Arabidopsis thaliana: one gene and its partners. The protein of the gene in region 1 binds, or shares a complex with, the protein of each later gene. Each region holds a gene or a part of one and is shown in the gene's direction. Other genes may lie near its edges.

Region 1 (6,666 bases):
AAAAGAAATAGGAGTATAAATATAAACGAAACACAAAATAGAACTGTTTAGGAGAATATAAAACTTTTACGTTGTCTCTACCTCTTCAAATTCACCAAATTTATTTTTTAAATAGTTTCCATCACTTGTCAATGTCACATCACCTATCATCTATCTCTCTTTTTCTCCCTCTCGTCCTTTTTCATCACTTTCATCATTCATGCATCTCTGCCCCCATTCTCTATTTTCTTCTATATTTCTCTAGTCAACCAAAAATTTTGCCTTAAGGAAACCAAAAGAGAAATCCAATTGAAAAGGATATTAAAATTAAGGGTAATATTAAAAAGAAAATTTTGGGCCCAACATCAGAACACCATTTTATGACTGTTTCTATTGTCGACTGTTTGACAAACTGAACAAACAATGGCTTTGATTGGTGAACAAAATCAAAGCACTACAATTTCTACAATTTATAAATTTATCAATCAAATATCAAAATTGTTACACTGTTTTTTTACAGTTTTTCTGTACTATTTTTCTTTTTCTTTTTTATACATCATTATGTACCATCTTACCATTATAACTACCAGGTAAAAAACTTGTAAATTTTTATATTATTAATAAGACCCAATATATATATATATATATATATATATATATATATATATAAGTTAGCAATCCAATGGTCTTGCAGTCTTTCATTATTGTAATGATGCTTATTAGGTTTTGTACTAAAATTAATGCTAATCAATTTAGAATTTACATAATAATATTTAGAATCATCTGTTTTTGTAACTATCTTAGTTTTAGAACTAAAAATAAAATAACCCAAAAAAAACTGGTAAGTACTAGTCTCTAATAGCTATGCTTTCTTTCTACAATATTATGGTAGTCAAATTATAAAAATATGGGGATGTTTCGAATCTTTCTACCGTAAAACTGGTTGTGTCCAAACGTATATATTTGGGATACAATAAAATAAAAAATAAGACTATTAAGCCAATGAATCATAATGAGGCCATAATTTTAAACGATTAATGGGCTCCTAAATATCTATCTTCATAATTCACACTCCACATGAATCTATTCCTAGTAACCCTAAGTGTTTTAATAATAGGATCTAGAGATGTTCGAAGATATAATTGCATTTTACTTTTCGTCGTACTTATGACGAAGCAAGCCTTGGACATCTCCGTTTTAAAACAGGGATCTCATGATCTTGAAAAGGATTCTTCAAGAAGCACAGAAAAAGACAAATTCGTATGAATTATTGACTCATATCAAAGTTATTTCATATAAACAAAATCCTATGAATTATTGACACTAGTCAAAACTCAATGAACAGATTGATTGGCCGTGAATGCTACGGTCCATGAAGGGATCGAGTGTGGACCAGTCTCTGCAATATATGTTGTTAGGTTGACTTGTTTTCACTAGAATCGTATGTTTTTCCAATCCATCAGTACGTTTAACTTCAAACCACCGTCAAATGAAAGCTAATTTAAACTTCTTCTTTTTTTGTAATATTTTGTGTCAACAATTGAATTTGATCCATGGTGAGAGAAACCTCTAAACGCCGGAGATATTTGTGATGTTTTAACGTGGTCTTTCATCTTCAATTGCTAGTTACGCCTAGAAACATATGTGACTTTAAACTATCAGATAAAGACTTATAAAACACACTTTTAAAAAGTCATAAACAAAGACATCTAATAATAATCAACCCTTAATTACACAAAAAATAATAATGTAAAACAATATTAGAATGATCAATTTTTAAAATATTTAGTTTTTTTTTTTTTTTGGTGATAGAAACTAAAAATTTAGACTATAAGCCGATAAAGCTGATAAGCCCATTAAGTATAATGAGACCCTAGTTTTCAAATTTGGACTAGACAAGCCCATTTACGGTTTTGGTGTAACACCAAAAAATACTGTTCAATTTACAATAATACCCATATATCACTTCATCTTCCTCGAAGAATCTTCATAATTTTTAATTCATCCTCCATTAGAATCCCTAGGGTTTTCTTCCATACACAATCAGACTCAACGATAAGTACCAATCGGAGAAGAGATCACAAGTGGATGATGAGTTACGAAGGCAACGGAGATGGTGTCGCTATCTCCACCGAAAACCACAACGAGAACTACATATCTCTAGAGAGCTCGCCTTTTCATGAAGACTCCAAGTCTCGAGTATGTTACACTTTCTTCTTTACATATCTTGCGTTCGATTCTGTAGCTTTTAGGTTTCTCTCGTGAATTAGACTGGTAATCATAATTTGTTCTCCACTTGTATTGTAATTTGGTACAATTCTCGGATTCTGCTTGTTGAATTTATGTTTTTGATAGTTTGATTTGAAGGATTCACTGGATTTAGAGTATATATTATCATGTTAAGTTCATATGTTCTCTTTAGAAATCTGGGGATAGTATATGAGAGAAGCCTTTTGACATTTGTTTCCTGCAGGAATCTCATGATCTTAAAAAGGATTCTTCGAAAATCAGTGAGAAAGACAATGAAAATGGACGTGATAAAGACGGAAACAAAGATCGTGATCGTGAGAAGGATCGTGATAGGGAGAAGAGCAGAGACAGAGATAGGGAGAAAAGCAGAGATAGAGATAGGGATAGGGAGAGAAGTAAGGATAGGCAACGAGACCGTCATCATAGAGATCGTCATAGGGACCGTAGCAGAGAACGTAGTGAGAAAAGAGATGATTTGGATGATGATCATCATCGCAGAAGTCGAGACCGTGATAGGTACTCATTAGTGTGTTGCAATTGTTTTTGTAGTTTTAGATTGTTTTATTCTTAAAATTGAAGGTGTAGTCATTTCTCGACAGGAGGAGGTCTCGCGATCGAGACAGAGAGGTGAGACACAGGCGACGGTCACGCTCTCGGTCAAGGAGCCGCTCTGAACGTAGGTCAAGGTCAGAACATAGACATAAGTCTGAACATAGATCACGCTCACGGTCGCGATCAAGGTCAAAGAGGTACCTGGGCTCTCCTGCTATTTTTATCTTTTCTAACTAGTTCTTTCCGTGGCCACATTGCAATGTGTTATGATATTGATGTCAAATCAAATAAAACCATTATTGTTTAGTATTTGATGTCTTTGTTTTGTTGACACAATATGATTATCATGGTCTTCTACTGGGTTGAACGGTCCCTCCTTATATGATTACCAATATTTTAGTCTGATCTGGGTCATTGATGTTTATGTGTGTTTCATACGTTTACTTGGCATTATTTTTTCGAACTCGTCTCTACTGATGTCTAACCAATTATATTTTGCTCTTTCAGCAAGAGGAGAAGTGGATTTGATATGGCGCCTCCTGATATGTTAGCTGCTACTGCTGTTGCTGCAGCAGGTATTTGCTTCATCATCTACTCAGGGTTATTATATTTCTTAACTGCTTGTTGTTTTTGATTTTACGTAGTTTGGAAAGATCATAGTCAATTACACGGTGTGACTTTGGTAAGCTGCAATTTTATTGTTTACTCGTGAACAAAGAGGACTTTGAAGTCTTGCTTTCTTCATAGGATGTCTTGTTATTTTTGTTTGACTGGTGGTTCTGGAACTGAGAAATTTTTTGTTTGTGTTTTTTTGGTGGTGTTTGTTTGTTTCTGTGTCTTGTCTTTTTGTAGTAAGAAGGCTATGTTGGGTTAGTTGCCCCACTGTGCTGACAATGAGCCGACCTCTCTAGCTTTAATTGTACAAGGAGGAATCAGTGCAACGGTTGTCATGGGTATTTTTCATCTTCGACTGGCAACTATATGCCTGTTTTCGAGCCTTACAATCTCTGACAACTAAAACGAATATTACATCACAACTTTTCATTTTAATATTCATAAGTTGTTGGTATACTTTCTACTTGTGGGTTTTGTAAGTAGCAAGGTGTTATCTGTAGCTTTGTACTTGTTGGTAGGTCTGCTCCTCCGGGAAACATAATAATGTATCTAACAAACATTTTTATGACGCATACTACTTTACCTAGCAGGCCAGGTTCCTAGTGTGCCAACTACTGCTACTATTCCAGGGATGTTCTCAAACATGTTTCCAATGGTCCCTGGTCAGGTATAAAAATTTGTATTTTTGTGTCTCTTATGTTCCTCTTTTCTTTTGTTTTATGCGAACATGCTCAGAACTTCTCAATCTTTTTTCTCACATAGCAACTAGGTGCGCTTCCTGTACTGCCAGTTCAGGCAATGACTCAACAGGTACGATCTATCAATCTATCTTATTCTTAGGTTCTTCACCTTTTGTCACGATTCCCTTCCTAAAATATGTAGTCGCAGGCAACTAGGCATGCTCGGCGAGTCTATGTTGGTGGCCTTCCACCAACTGCTAATGAACAGGTTTGTTACTTTTGTTTTGTTTAAGGTTTTGTGACTTTTTGTTTATTATTGTCTATTTAAACCACATTTCAATATCCATTGTATGCCTACTGAGAATGGGTTTTCATGTCCTAGTCGGTGTCAACGTTCTTTAGCCAAGTGATGTCGGCCATTGGGGGAAACACTGCTGGGCCAGGTATTGAAAAGTTCATTATATTTTTGTCATATTGGCCGCAAGTCTATACGAAATCTCATCCTTTTTTTGGATTATTAATTCATAGGTGATGCGGTGGTCAATGTTTATATAAACCACGAAAAGAAGTTTGCTTTTGTAGAGATGAGATCTGTTGAGGAGGCTAGTAACGCAATGGCATTAGACGGCATTATATTAGAGGTGATTTATTAGCTCTTCTACACTTTAGATGTTTGGTGTTTATTAGTTACAATCTGTATTATGAGTATTGAAACCTATCTGAAATCATAGCTTTTTTCATCTCTAGGGAGTTCCTGTAAAGGTGAGGAGGCCAACTGACTATAACCCGTCTCTTGCTGCAACTCTTGGTCCGAGCCAGCCTAATCCCAACCTCAACTTAGGGGCTGTTGGATTGTCTTCAGGGTCTACTGGTGGGCTTGAGGGTCCCGACCGCATTTTTGTGGGCGGACTTCCCTATTACTTCACAGAGGTACAGATCAGGGAGCTCTTGGAGTCTTTTGGGCCCCTAAGAGGTTTCAACTTGGTCAAAGACAGGGAGACTGGAAATTCGAAGGGATATGCATTCTGTGTTTACCAAGATCCGTCAGTAACAGATATTGCATGTGCCGCTCTAAACGGGATTAAGATGGGTGATAAGACACTTACAGTTAGGCGTGCAATCCAGGGTGCAATTCAACCTAAACCCGAGCAAGAAGAAGTCTTACTTTATGCCCAACAACAGATTGCTTTGCAGGTAAAGGATTCTGATTCACTCTATCTAAATGATCAGTAATGCTAAATCTGTCTCAAACTTTGTTGCAGAGGCTTATGTTCCAACCAGGAGGTACTCCCACCAAGATTGTCTGTTTGACTCAAGTGGTTACAGCTGATGATCTTAGAGACGATGAAGAATATGCAGAGATAATGGAGGACATGCGACAAGAAGGTGGAAAATTCGGTAAGCAATTAGATTTTCTTATTGTCTGTTCTGACATTATACCAATAGCACATTACTGAGGCTCATGGTCTAAAATGAACTTTGATAAATCATTGTTGTGTGTGTAGGTAACTTAGTGAATGTTGTGATTCCGAGGCCTAATCCAGATCATGACCCAACACCAGGAGTTGGGAAGGTTAGATTTCAGTCCTCAGATACAAATGTCTACCAAATTCATATATAAATTGCATACTCTAATGGTAATACTAATGCAGGTTTTCTTAGAGTATGCGGATGTGGATGGCTCATCAAAGGCCAGATCGGGGATGAATGGAAGAAAATTTGGAGGAAACCAAGTAGTGGCTGTGTATTACCCCGAAGACAAGTATGCCCAAGGCGACTACGAAGACTGAGCTATCTATCGTCTTCTTCTTAAGCTTTTAGTTTGGATCTCTTAGCAACAAGTTTGGTTCTTTTTTATTTTTAAGTTTTTTACATGTTTAGTTCTCTCTCTACTAAATGGAGAAATTTGTCTAGAATCTGACTGCAATAGTACTTGTCCAGGCACAATCAATTAAGGTGTGTGTTGGTAATAGTAGCTTTTGGTTTCATTGAACACTAACCAAACCACATCAGTTTATATTATTGTTCTTTTAAAAACTAAAAGACCAAACCACATCAGTTTCTAAATGCAATGCTGGAACATGTGCAATTGCTCTCACTAAACGTGAAATACTGGATTTATATTAGAAAAGTAAGATAGTAGGCAAGTAGCACCAGTGGTCTAGTGGTAGAATAGTACCCTGCCACGGTACAGACCCGGGTTCAATTCCCGGCTGGTGCATTTGAGCGTTGATGAAATTTGCTTTAAGCTAAGGTTGGGTCCTTAGCAATTCTCCGATGAATCGGATAATATAGCCTCATATCTGAGCTCATTTGTTTTTTATTTTATTTTACAACGAAAGTTACATGTCATGCTTTCACAAGACACATCTCATGTTACACGAACTTGAAGTTATGCCTGATAACACATTAATTTATAATTTATTAAAATATATATAACAATAATTTGAAGTTAAAAAAAATGAAAGAATTTTAAAATAATTAAAATTTGATAATGTAACAAGTTCCATATCACATCAATAATGTAGATTAGTGATAAATTTTTTTTCATATTTAGTAGAAAATGATTTGTATATATGAATACATAATT
Region 2 (4,529 bases), on another chromosome or scaffold:
AAAGTTCGTAGACAAATTAAGCACTCTTTTATATGTAGTAGATATATGACTTAAGTATATTTTGAACAGCCATGGGAGACTTATCAAGCAAATCTGTCGATAGATTTGAAGAAGCACCACGTTCCGAAGAATATCGCCGACAAAGTCGCTTACCGGATTGTCAAGCTCCTCCGTATTCCCACCGATATATTTTTTCAGGCATGACTGTAATTTCAAATTTTAAAATGAAACGTTGATTCGTTTAATATGTTCATTGGTTTATTTAGCTGATTCGGTTTGGTTTGGTTTGTAATTTTGTATGCACATATTATCCTACCATGATTCACATATATACATACGTATGGATTCACTGTTTCACTTCACATGCTAATGTTTTACATTTTTTGTTCCTTAATGTTAAATATATGTTTGGTCAGCAGAGACGATATGGATGCAGAGCGATGATGCTAGAGACAGTAGCTGCAGTACCAGGAATGGTTGGAGGAATGCTTCTTCACCTAAAATCAATCCGAAAATTCGAACATAGCGGCGGTTGGATCAAAGCATTACTCGAAGAAGCAGAGAACGAGAGGATGCATCTAATGACGATGATGGAGTTAGTCAAACCCAAATGGTACGAGCGTCTTCTAGTGATGCTTGTTCAAGGAATATTCTTCAACTCTTTTTTCGTTTGTTACGTGATTTCCCCGCGGTTAGCTCATAGGGTCGTTGGATATTTAGAGGAAGAAGCTATACATTCTTACACCGAGTTTCTTAAAGATATCGACAATGGGAAGATCGAGAATGTTGCCGCGCCCGCGATTGCTATTGATTATTGGAGATTGCCTAAAGATGCTACGTTGAAAGATGTTGTAACGGTGATTCGTGCTGATGAAGCTCATCATCGAGATGTCAACCATTTTGCTTCTGTGAGTCTAAAACAACAACCCTTTTATTTTTTTTCCAAAACTCCCGAGTTTCATACATTTCTTCGGGTCCATTTCGGTGATATTAAAATAACAAATGATATAAGTAGTAGAATCAACGACATTTGGTGTGTGGATACATACAAGTTCATAGTTTTTAATATAAATCAATGAATTTTAAAAATCTGTGGATTTGTTATGTTGTGTGGTGTTTTTGAATTGTTAATATTGTGAGTTATTTGCAGGACATTCGCAATCAAGGAAAAGAGTTGCGAGAAGCAGCAGCTCCGATTGGTTATCACTAAACCAATTTCAAAAGAGTATCCTACTTGGAGTTTTTCTGTTTGTTTTTTTTAATGATTTTGGATATGAATTTGTTTGAATGTGCTAAAATATGTTTTAAAGGTGTTAGAGATGTACCGGTGTTTGTAAATTGCAGAATTGTTTTGGTAAAAATGTTTCAGACTATAATAAAATTGCGTCTCAACCGTCCCAATCGCTGCTGAACCGATACGAACCAAACTCGGTATCATCCGGTTCGATTATCTTCTTTTTTTTGTGTCTTCGTCAAGGGGTACAAATGTAATTAACAACAACGTCAAGCTTTAAAAAAAATGTCCCCGTATCTAGTAGATTCCATTGTTTCAGAAAAGCTTTAACCTAATTTCACTTCGTCTCTCTCTCGCGCTCCCAATTTCTCCGCCGGCGGGAAAACCATGTCGCACTTCGGAAGGTCAGGTCCACCGGATATCAGCGACACCTACTCACTTCTCGTCCTTAACATCACCTTCCGTAATCTCTCAAGTCCCTATTTCTGTTTCTCAACCTCTAATCAATTTTCGTGAACTGGGGGTTTCTAAGAGATTAGGTTTTGTTGTTATGTGTAGGTACGACTGCTGATGATCTCTATCCTCTATTCGCAAAGTATGGAAAGGTCGTTGATGTGTTTATTCCCAGAGATCGAAGGTCCAATTTCTTCTTCTTCTCCGACTGAGGAATTAGGGTTTCTTGATTTCTGTCATTGAGTCTTGTGTCAATTTATAGGACTGGTGATTCGCGTGGTTTTGCGTTTGTTCGGTATAAGTATAAAGACGAAGCTCACAAAGCAGTGGAAAGGCTTGATGGTATAATTATCCAGATCTTCTTATCTCTCTTGTGTTCTTGGTTTTGTTGTGTGCTTTTGGTGCCTGGATTCAACATGAAGCTTCTTTCTCTGTTTCAGGAAGAGTTGTTGATGGCAGAGAAATAACTGTTCAGTTTGCGAAATATGGGCCAAATGCTGAAAAAATGTAAGCTTCTTTCTTTGCCAATGATTGTTCAAGTTTACTCTTGATATTCGGGAGCTCACTATGAATGTTTCCTCTTTAGACCGTTTCCGTTATTTGTGCAATTGGAACTTCTATCACGTAAAAAGCTGCATCTGTAATTGTATTTTGATTCGTTTGTTATTATCATGATTCATGACAGTTCCAAAGGAAGAGTTGTGGAACCACCGCCGAAGTCACGAAGATCTAGAAGCCGTAGTCCTAGGCGGAGTCGTAGTCCTAGGAGGAGCCGTAGCCCGCCTAGACGTCGTAGTCCCAGAAGAAGCCGCAGTCCTCGTAGGAGGTGAGTTTCTTCTTTAATCTGCATTCTTATGATGATTAGGTGAACTAGTGGGAGTTAATAATGGTTATGTTATTAGTCAACTAGCTTTTGTTACTTGATTTATGAAAGAACTCCATCTCTGCCTAAGAACAGTATTTGTCTGAATAATTCTCTCATCCGAGTTACATAACTTGTAGGTCCCGAGATGACTATAGGGAAAAAGACTACCGGAAGCGGAGCAGGAGCAGAAGCTATGACAGGCGTGAAAGGCATGAGGAGAAGGATAGAGATCATCGTCGTCGCACTAGGTCTCGTAGTGCCAGCCCAGATGAAAAACGCAGAGTCAGAGGCCGTTATGATAATGAGAGCCGCAGTCACAGTCGTTCCTTGAGGTTTCTTCCGTTGTGAACCTCTTTTTTTCATGTTGTTGCTCCACAATACTGTGTATCCTGATTTCAACTTTTTGACATGCAGTGCATCTCCTGCTCGCCGCAGCCCTAGAAGTTCCTCCCCACAGAAAACCTCTCCTGCTAGAGAAGTTTCTCCTGATAAGCGTAGCAATGAGAGGTCTCCATCTCCTCGTCGCAGCCTCAGCCCAAGAAGCCCTGCTTTGCAAAAGGCCTCTCCTTCTAAGGAGATGTCTCCTGAAAGGCGTAGCAATGAGAGGTCCCCATCTCCTGGTAGCCCTGCTCCTCTGCGCAAAGTTGATGCTGCTTCTCGAAGTCAATCTCCTTATGCTGCGGTGGGTTACAAAAACACTGTGTTTCAGATGTGTATCACTAATGAAACTTGATGTCTGAATTGTCCTTGTTTACATTTTGTTTGCAGGAATGACTGCAGCCACTTGTGAAAGTGATACGGTGTATGATGAAAAACACGTTTGCTTGTACTGATGATGTTTCATCATTAAGCACTGGAACGTCTACCCTCTGTAGTATTACTTGCTTTCCGTAGGTGCCCTCAAACTACTGAGTACTGACTGTATCTTTGTTTCCTGTTATCGTTCTGGTTTAGTGTTCATGTGCAAGAATTATTACTGTTTGAACAGCCTTTTTAGTCTCTGTTTTATTTGAATCTTCTCTGGTTTGGAATTCATAGCATTCTAACTCCATTCCCCTGGCTTGTCTTGGATTTTTCTAGTCTGGTTCGAGAAAAGAATTGACTGGGAAGATGGCACAACCATGTTGAGATTGTAGCTGTTGATGGCTGTTTATGAAACTGTAGATGATCGATGCTGTTTATGAAACCGTAGATGATCGATGCTGGTCACAGCTATCTGCTTTAACTAGTATCATCCTTGTGTCGCTAATGCTTAGAAGGGCTGGTTCGTTGAGTTTTCAATCTTAAGTTGAGAAATCAAAGTTCAGTTGAGTTTCACTTATCTCTTGTCTATCTTCTGTTTAAGATTCTTATCAAAAGTACCTAATGCAAAGATAAATTACCAAATAACTAACTGACAATTGAAGTCTCTTCCTTTACCAATGTAAAGTTGAGATCACAAAGAAGTAATAACATGTTTTTGTTTAAAGTTAAGCAATGGTGAGATTAAGAAGCTGTGTAAACTCCAATCTACGAGTCTCATGGTAAAAAGTCTTGTACTTATTTGGCCAGTAAGTCAACCAAATAAACCCTTTAATCTCCCACTCCATTGTTCCCCCCAATGCTCCTTTTCCAATCTTCCACACCACACTCTCTCCATACTCGTCCCCTGCAAATATCACACCTCCTCTCCTCGTAAATGACCGATACGCTCTTGCATACCTATCCTTAAACCAAGACCTTGGGCTCATTATTGAAAACCGTGACGGCTTTGTCGAAAAAACCTCTCTTCCTCCAACGCTGCTATCATACAAGATCCAGTTTAGATTAGCTGTGTAGCCGAGCACAGATTGCTCTAATTTCCACGGGGTCATTGTCATGGTTGAGGCTTCTCGTCCAGCAACTCTTAAGCCTAGTGAGTTTGGTGGATCGAACGAGCCTTCAATAGATCTCTCGACTTCAAACTCTCTTCCCGGATTGTTTGATGATTTGCTAACC
Region 3 (4,559 bases), about 14 Mb from region 1:
AAAAACAAAACTTCTACACACGATCTAAGACTATATCCATATTGATAAGATGAATTGAATCGATATATATTCTTACTTTAACAAAAAAGAAAGATCATTAGAGTTATCTTGTCTTACTAAAAGTCTTAGATAAAGACATAAAAATGGAACAAACATCATTGGGAATGCAACATGCATGTACATATTACATATAGTAAATATAATATAGTTAAAAGCGAAGTCATTATTATATGACTAAACTAAGATAATTAAAACATGTAAGCACACATTATCGGGAATGTATTGATATTAAAAGGGCACCACGTAGGTCAGGGTGGCCTCTCAAACCCCCCAAGGGACAAAGCAGCATTAGGATTGTCACTAAAGTACTAACCATGTGTTATTTTACGATATTATCCCCATTTGGTGTTAATGGTTCCAAGTGTCAATGTAAATAACGTTGACATATATAAGCCGTGTTTTGTTTTCACGTTGTTTAGGAAGCCAACGAGGATTGGGTAATTGGATCCGAATCAGATTGACACTTTCTTCTTCTTTACTTTTCTTGCTCTTCCACTTGACAATACCAATTTAGGGCTTGGCTGGATACAAATGTTTTTATCCTTCTTCAACCCGTTATCCGTTTTACTAGACTTAAAAAAAAAAGAATAGTATGTGTAAATATGATACATGATATCATGCATTTGTTAACTACGATAAAAAAAATCGAATATCTATATTGTCCATTTTGCAGATATCCCTTTTAAATATCTAACTAAATATCTGTAAATGTGAGGTTTAAAATTGAAATCCGTATATTTTTATTGATATGCACAACGATAGTTACAATAAGTAACATGACACTAATAATCACTCCCCAAAATTTTTATACAATTAGATATAATTTTAAATACTAATATTCTATAAATATTTCACAATTTTAGAAATTTTGATACTAACCAATTAATGTTAGCTTTGGATAACGAATGAAGTTATGGCCATCTTATTTCTTCTGAGCCATCTATTTAGCCATAGCCATCCAAAAATTAAAGAGTATCTTATTCCTCCCATGTCCAGCTTAAGGGACAAGCCAGGGAATAGCGACACGTGTAAATTGAATGTCGATTTTGTAAAAGGAGGTAAGTGGGGTCTACACAGTGGCTGCAAATAAACGAATCATAACTAAACACGTGTCAAAGACACAGTCTTAGAGGAGTCGATGTAAGTGGGACCCAGCATGACTTATCTTGGTTCAGAATGTTTTCCCCAATGGATAAGTGTCTTTTTGTTTTTGGTGGGATGATGAAACCTTTTCTATTTACGTCGACGCAATTTTAAACAATGAGACTCTTTTTTTTTTGTGTGTGTGCAATCGTTTAGAGACTTGTTCACATGAATTAGGTGCCCAATCATGTGTAAATTGGTAAGGTATATGTAAAACTAACAATTGTTACACTTGCCAACTCCAAACTTAGATTTAATCAGCCTACTATATTTTGAAAATTTAAGAAGATACAAGTACTGATGCAAAAGTTGAAAACCAAAACCAACTCATATGGGCCATTAAGCAACTGAAACTTGCTCATATTTTTAAAATTTTAACCAAAAGGTTATGGGTTTTAGGCCCATTAGTTTTTTTCAGACTGAGAATCACGTCAAGTTACAGTAATTAGACATCAAACTCTAGAAACATGTTTGCATAACTTTTGTTGTCAAAGATGTTTTGCATAGTTTCAAAATCCGCTTTCACCTCAATTCTCTTTTTACGTTAACTAATCGACTATGGGAGACTAGTCTTACATTTTGGTCGCTAAAACTTTGTTTATGAATATATGGATTACCGAAAAATAAGGGACCATGAAATAACTAATAAATGACCAAATAATATATGATGTTAATTTTTTTTTACTTTTCAGTTTTCATATAATAATGAAATAACTTGGTTACTCTCTTTCCTCGCCGTAGTCTGAGTCTGAACCCTAAAACATCCCGCTTCGCTGCTCAGGACCAAGAATCTCAGGTACCTTGTTAACTACTCGCTGTAACTATTATCGATATCCATATTTCTTCACAAAATTCGATTCTCTTTCGTTCAGATTCAACTGATCTTTGCAACATGACGAGGGTTTATGTCGGGAATTTGGACCCACGCGTCACCGAAAGAGAACTCGAAGACGAATTCAAGGCCTTCGGTGTTCTTCGCAAGTAAGTCCTATCTCTGTACTCAATTTTGTTTCAAGCCATACGAATTATGACTCTGAATCTTAAAAATCGCAGTGTCTGGGTAGCTCGTAGACCTCCTGGCTACGCATTCCTCGAGTTCGATGACGAAAGAGATGCTTTGGATGCAATCAGCGCATTGGATCGTTAGTGTTCTTCTCATTAGACCTCTTAGTTACCATGTAATGTTTGTATTATTGTTTGGTCATTGAAAAGTTTTACTCTTGTGGCGTATACTTCAGGAAAGAATGGGTGGCGTGTGGAGCTTTCTCATAAAGATAAAGGAGGTCGTGGAGGTGGTGGTGGTCGTCGTGGAGGTATTGAGGATTCCAAGTGCTATGAGTGTGGTGAGCTTGGACATTTTGCTCGCGAGTGTCGCCGTGGTCGAGGCTCTGTGAGGCGTAGAAGCCCTAGTCCCCGTCGTCGTAGGAGTCCAGATTATGGGTATGCTCGCAGGTAACGATCCAACGGAAACATTCTTATTGAGCTGCTTAGATGAGATAGTATGTCATTAGTATGTCCATTGTGTTAACATATCCATTGAAATTGCACTTTGTAATCATGTATAGGGGCTGAGTTGTTAATGTTGATAGTACCTTTCTTGATGTTATAATCGCTTTGTGACATACATTTTTGTTCCTGTGGAATTGATTTTGTTCAGGAGTATAAGCCCGCGTGGAAGAAGATCTCCTCCAAGGCGTCGCAGTGTTACTCCACCTCGCCGTGGGAGGAGCTACAGCAGATCCCCTCCTTATCGTGGTTCACGCCGTGATTCTCCTCGCCGCAGAGACTCGCCCTATGGTCGACGTTCGCCATATGCCAATGGGTAAAAGTTCTTTTCTCTTCTTGGATTTAGGTTTACTTTCTCAATCTGCATGACTCAACTTCAGCATTGTCTATGTAGATGTGAATAACATTTGAAGTATTTTGATATAAGGTATATATTCGTTTGCGTTTCTGCAGGGTGTGAAACTGGACCCTGAAGAGAAAGAAGCTATTACTAAGCTATGATGCTATATCTACTCTGTGGCGCCTTTTAGGATAGATCTTTATATCTGCTATTATGGTATTAGCTCTTCTAGGTTTGGTTGTTGAGCATGGACATGTCATGGTATGTTCGAGTTTTATTAGACAATTGGATTTGGTGAGTTCTCCTTCATGCTGTTTTCCAACAGCCGTCTTGACTTATTCTCTATAACACGCACTGGCCTGCTGTCTTCACACAGCGTCCTTGAACCCCTACACTTGAGGTCGTTCTTTCGTATCCATAAATGTTTTGTCTCTTGTTGAATGCACTTTCCTTATTATATAGACATATCTAAAAAGCTCAACTGTTTCCACTCTTTTTCCCTTGTGAGGTATGATTTATCGGGGATCTCTTGGCAGCACAGCTGCATCTTACTCTCCCCACAACTTAGTTTTATCATGAATCTGCATCCTCAACTCGACCAACATCAGCTAGAATTTGCTTGTTACATTGTGTGACTTTTAGATTGCCCTGCTCTTTACTCACCACTCCTACCCCAAGTCTGCAACCAAGCTTCTATTGAGAAAGACGAATCTGTTTCTTCACCCCGTCCTCTTCCTAGCTCTCGGCTGCTATATCACCACTTGGTTTCTCTACTCACTTTTGTTTTTCGGTCAACTTTGTTACACATCTGTTGGTGGATCACACACTTACATTAAATTAAACCCATTTGTGGATGCTTCTTTTTTATATTGCTTGTGAAAAACGTGTTAGCTTAGTCTTTTGTGTTCATGATTTGGTTTCCCACTTATGCTTTTCTTTTCCCAATTAATCTCGACTTTTAATCTGTTCTTCTTCGGCCGCCACATGTTTTCATTTTAATACTTTTCTAAATTTGGTTTTGAGGCAATTTGGTTCAGATTTGTTGGTATACCAATTCTTACGTCAACGTCAATGAAGAAACGACTCCATATTTACGAATAAAAAACTGTAGTAGATCTGTACTCTCCCTTTTTCTTTGTAGAGAAGAAGAGAACTGTGAAAGAAGATGAAGATTGAGGAGGATCTAGGTTTCATCAACATACTCAAACGAGCAACAAAGCTTCTATGTGGTAACATCAATCTTGTTCTCTTCCTCTTCCTTTGCTCTCTCCCCCTCTTTTGTTTCTTGATCTTCTTCGAGCTTTCACTCCAAACCACTGTCTCACTCGCTTCTCAATACCTCGTTCGACAACTCACTAATTGGGATTACTACTACGTTCCTCAAGATGCTTCCGTCTTGGAGAATCTGATTCCATTGCTTATCCAGACATTTCTACTCTACTTGTTCCCGTACGGCCTCATAGACCTCTTCACCACCACCACAATAGTCTCTGCATCTTGGACTGTTCAC

Evidence for each region. Proteins that work in one complex are often made in the same cells at the same time.
Region 2: AT1G60900 (region 1) and SC35 share a complex: the UniProt entries of both Arabidopsis thaliana proteins name them as parts of the spliceosome.
Region 3: AT1G60900 (region 1) and RSZ21 share a complex: the UniProt entries of both Arabidopsis thaliana proteins name them as parts of the spliceosome.

The regions. Positions count from the first base shown.
Region 1 is NC_003070.9:22,421,941-22,428,606, forward strand, and holds AT1G60900 (U2 snRNP auxilliary factor, large subunit, splicing factor), read left to right. Parts: upstream 1-1,953; 5' UTR 1,954-2,067; coding exon 2,068-2,178; intron 2,179-2,452; coding exon 2,453-2,745; intron 2,746-2,828; coding exon 2,829-2,978; intron 2,979-3,288; coding exon 3,289-3,356; intron 3,357-3,986; coding exon 3,987-4,063; intron 4,064-4,158; coding exon 4,159-4,206; intron 4,207-4,284; coding exon 4,285-4,344; intron 4,345-4,458; coding exon 4,459-4,519; intron 4,520-4,604; coding exon 4,605-4,717; intron 4,718-4,823; coding exon 4,824-5,270; intron 5,271-5,338; coding exon 5,339-5,474; intron 5,475-5,581; coding exon 5,582-5,649; intron 5,650-5,728; coding exon 5,729-5,866; 3' UTR 5,867-6,113; downstream 6,114-6,666. Other genes in the region: AT1G60913 (Rapid alkalinization factor (RALF) family protein), read right to left, coding at 6,665-6,666. UniProt on the Arabidopsis thaliana protein: Necessary for the splicing of pre-mRNA.
Region 2 is NC_003076.8:25,680,646-25,685,174, reverse strand, and holds SC35 (serine/arginine-rich splicing factor-like protein, putative), read left to right. Parts: upstream 1-1,533; 5' UTR 1,534-1,621; coding exon 1,622-1,697; intron 1,698-1,792; coding exon 1,793-1,871; intron 1,872-1,949; coding exon 1,950-2,029; intron 2,030-2,127; coding exon 2,128-2,194; intron 2,195-2,372; coding exon 2,373-2,513; intron 2,514-2,689; coding exon 2,690-2,884; intron 2,885-2,966; coding exon 2,967-3,234; intron 3,235-3,320; coding exon 3,321-3,326; 3' UTR 3,327-3,442; exon of another isoform or gene 3,443-3,632; 3' UTR 3,633-3,973; downstream 3,974-4,529. Other genes in the region: AOX2 (alternative oxidase 2), read left to right, coding at 70-198, 420-908, 1,151-1,210; AT5G64190 (neuronal PAS domain protein), read right to left, coding at 4,022-4,529. UniProt on the Arabidopsis thaliana protein: Probably involved in intron recognition and spliceosome assembly, but not involved in alternative splicing regulation of the SCL33 intron.
Region 3 is NC_003070.9:8,426,701-8,431,259, reverse strand, and holds RSZ21 (RS-containing zinc finger protein 21), read left to right. Parts: upstream 1-1,774; 5' UTR 1,775-1,999; intron 2,000-2,018; exon of another isoform or gene 2,019-2,075; 5' UTR 2,076-2,095; coding exon 2,096-2,184; intron 2,185-2,256; coding exon 2,257-2,345; intron 2,346-2,441; coding exon 2,442-2,655; intron 2,656-2,860; coding exon 2,861-3,025; intron 3,026-3,162; coding exon 3,163-3,169; 3' UTR 3,170-4,003; downstream 4,004-4,559. Other genes in the region: AT1G23850 (uncharacterized protein), read left to right, coding at 4,215-4,559. UniProt on the Arabidopsis thaliana protein: Probably involved in intron recognition and spliceosome assembly.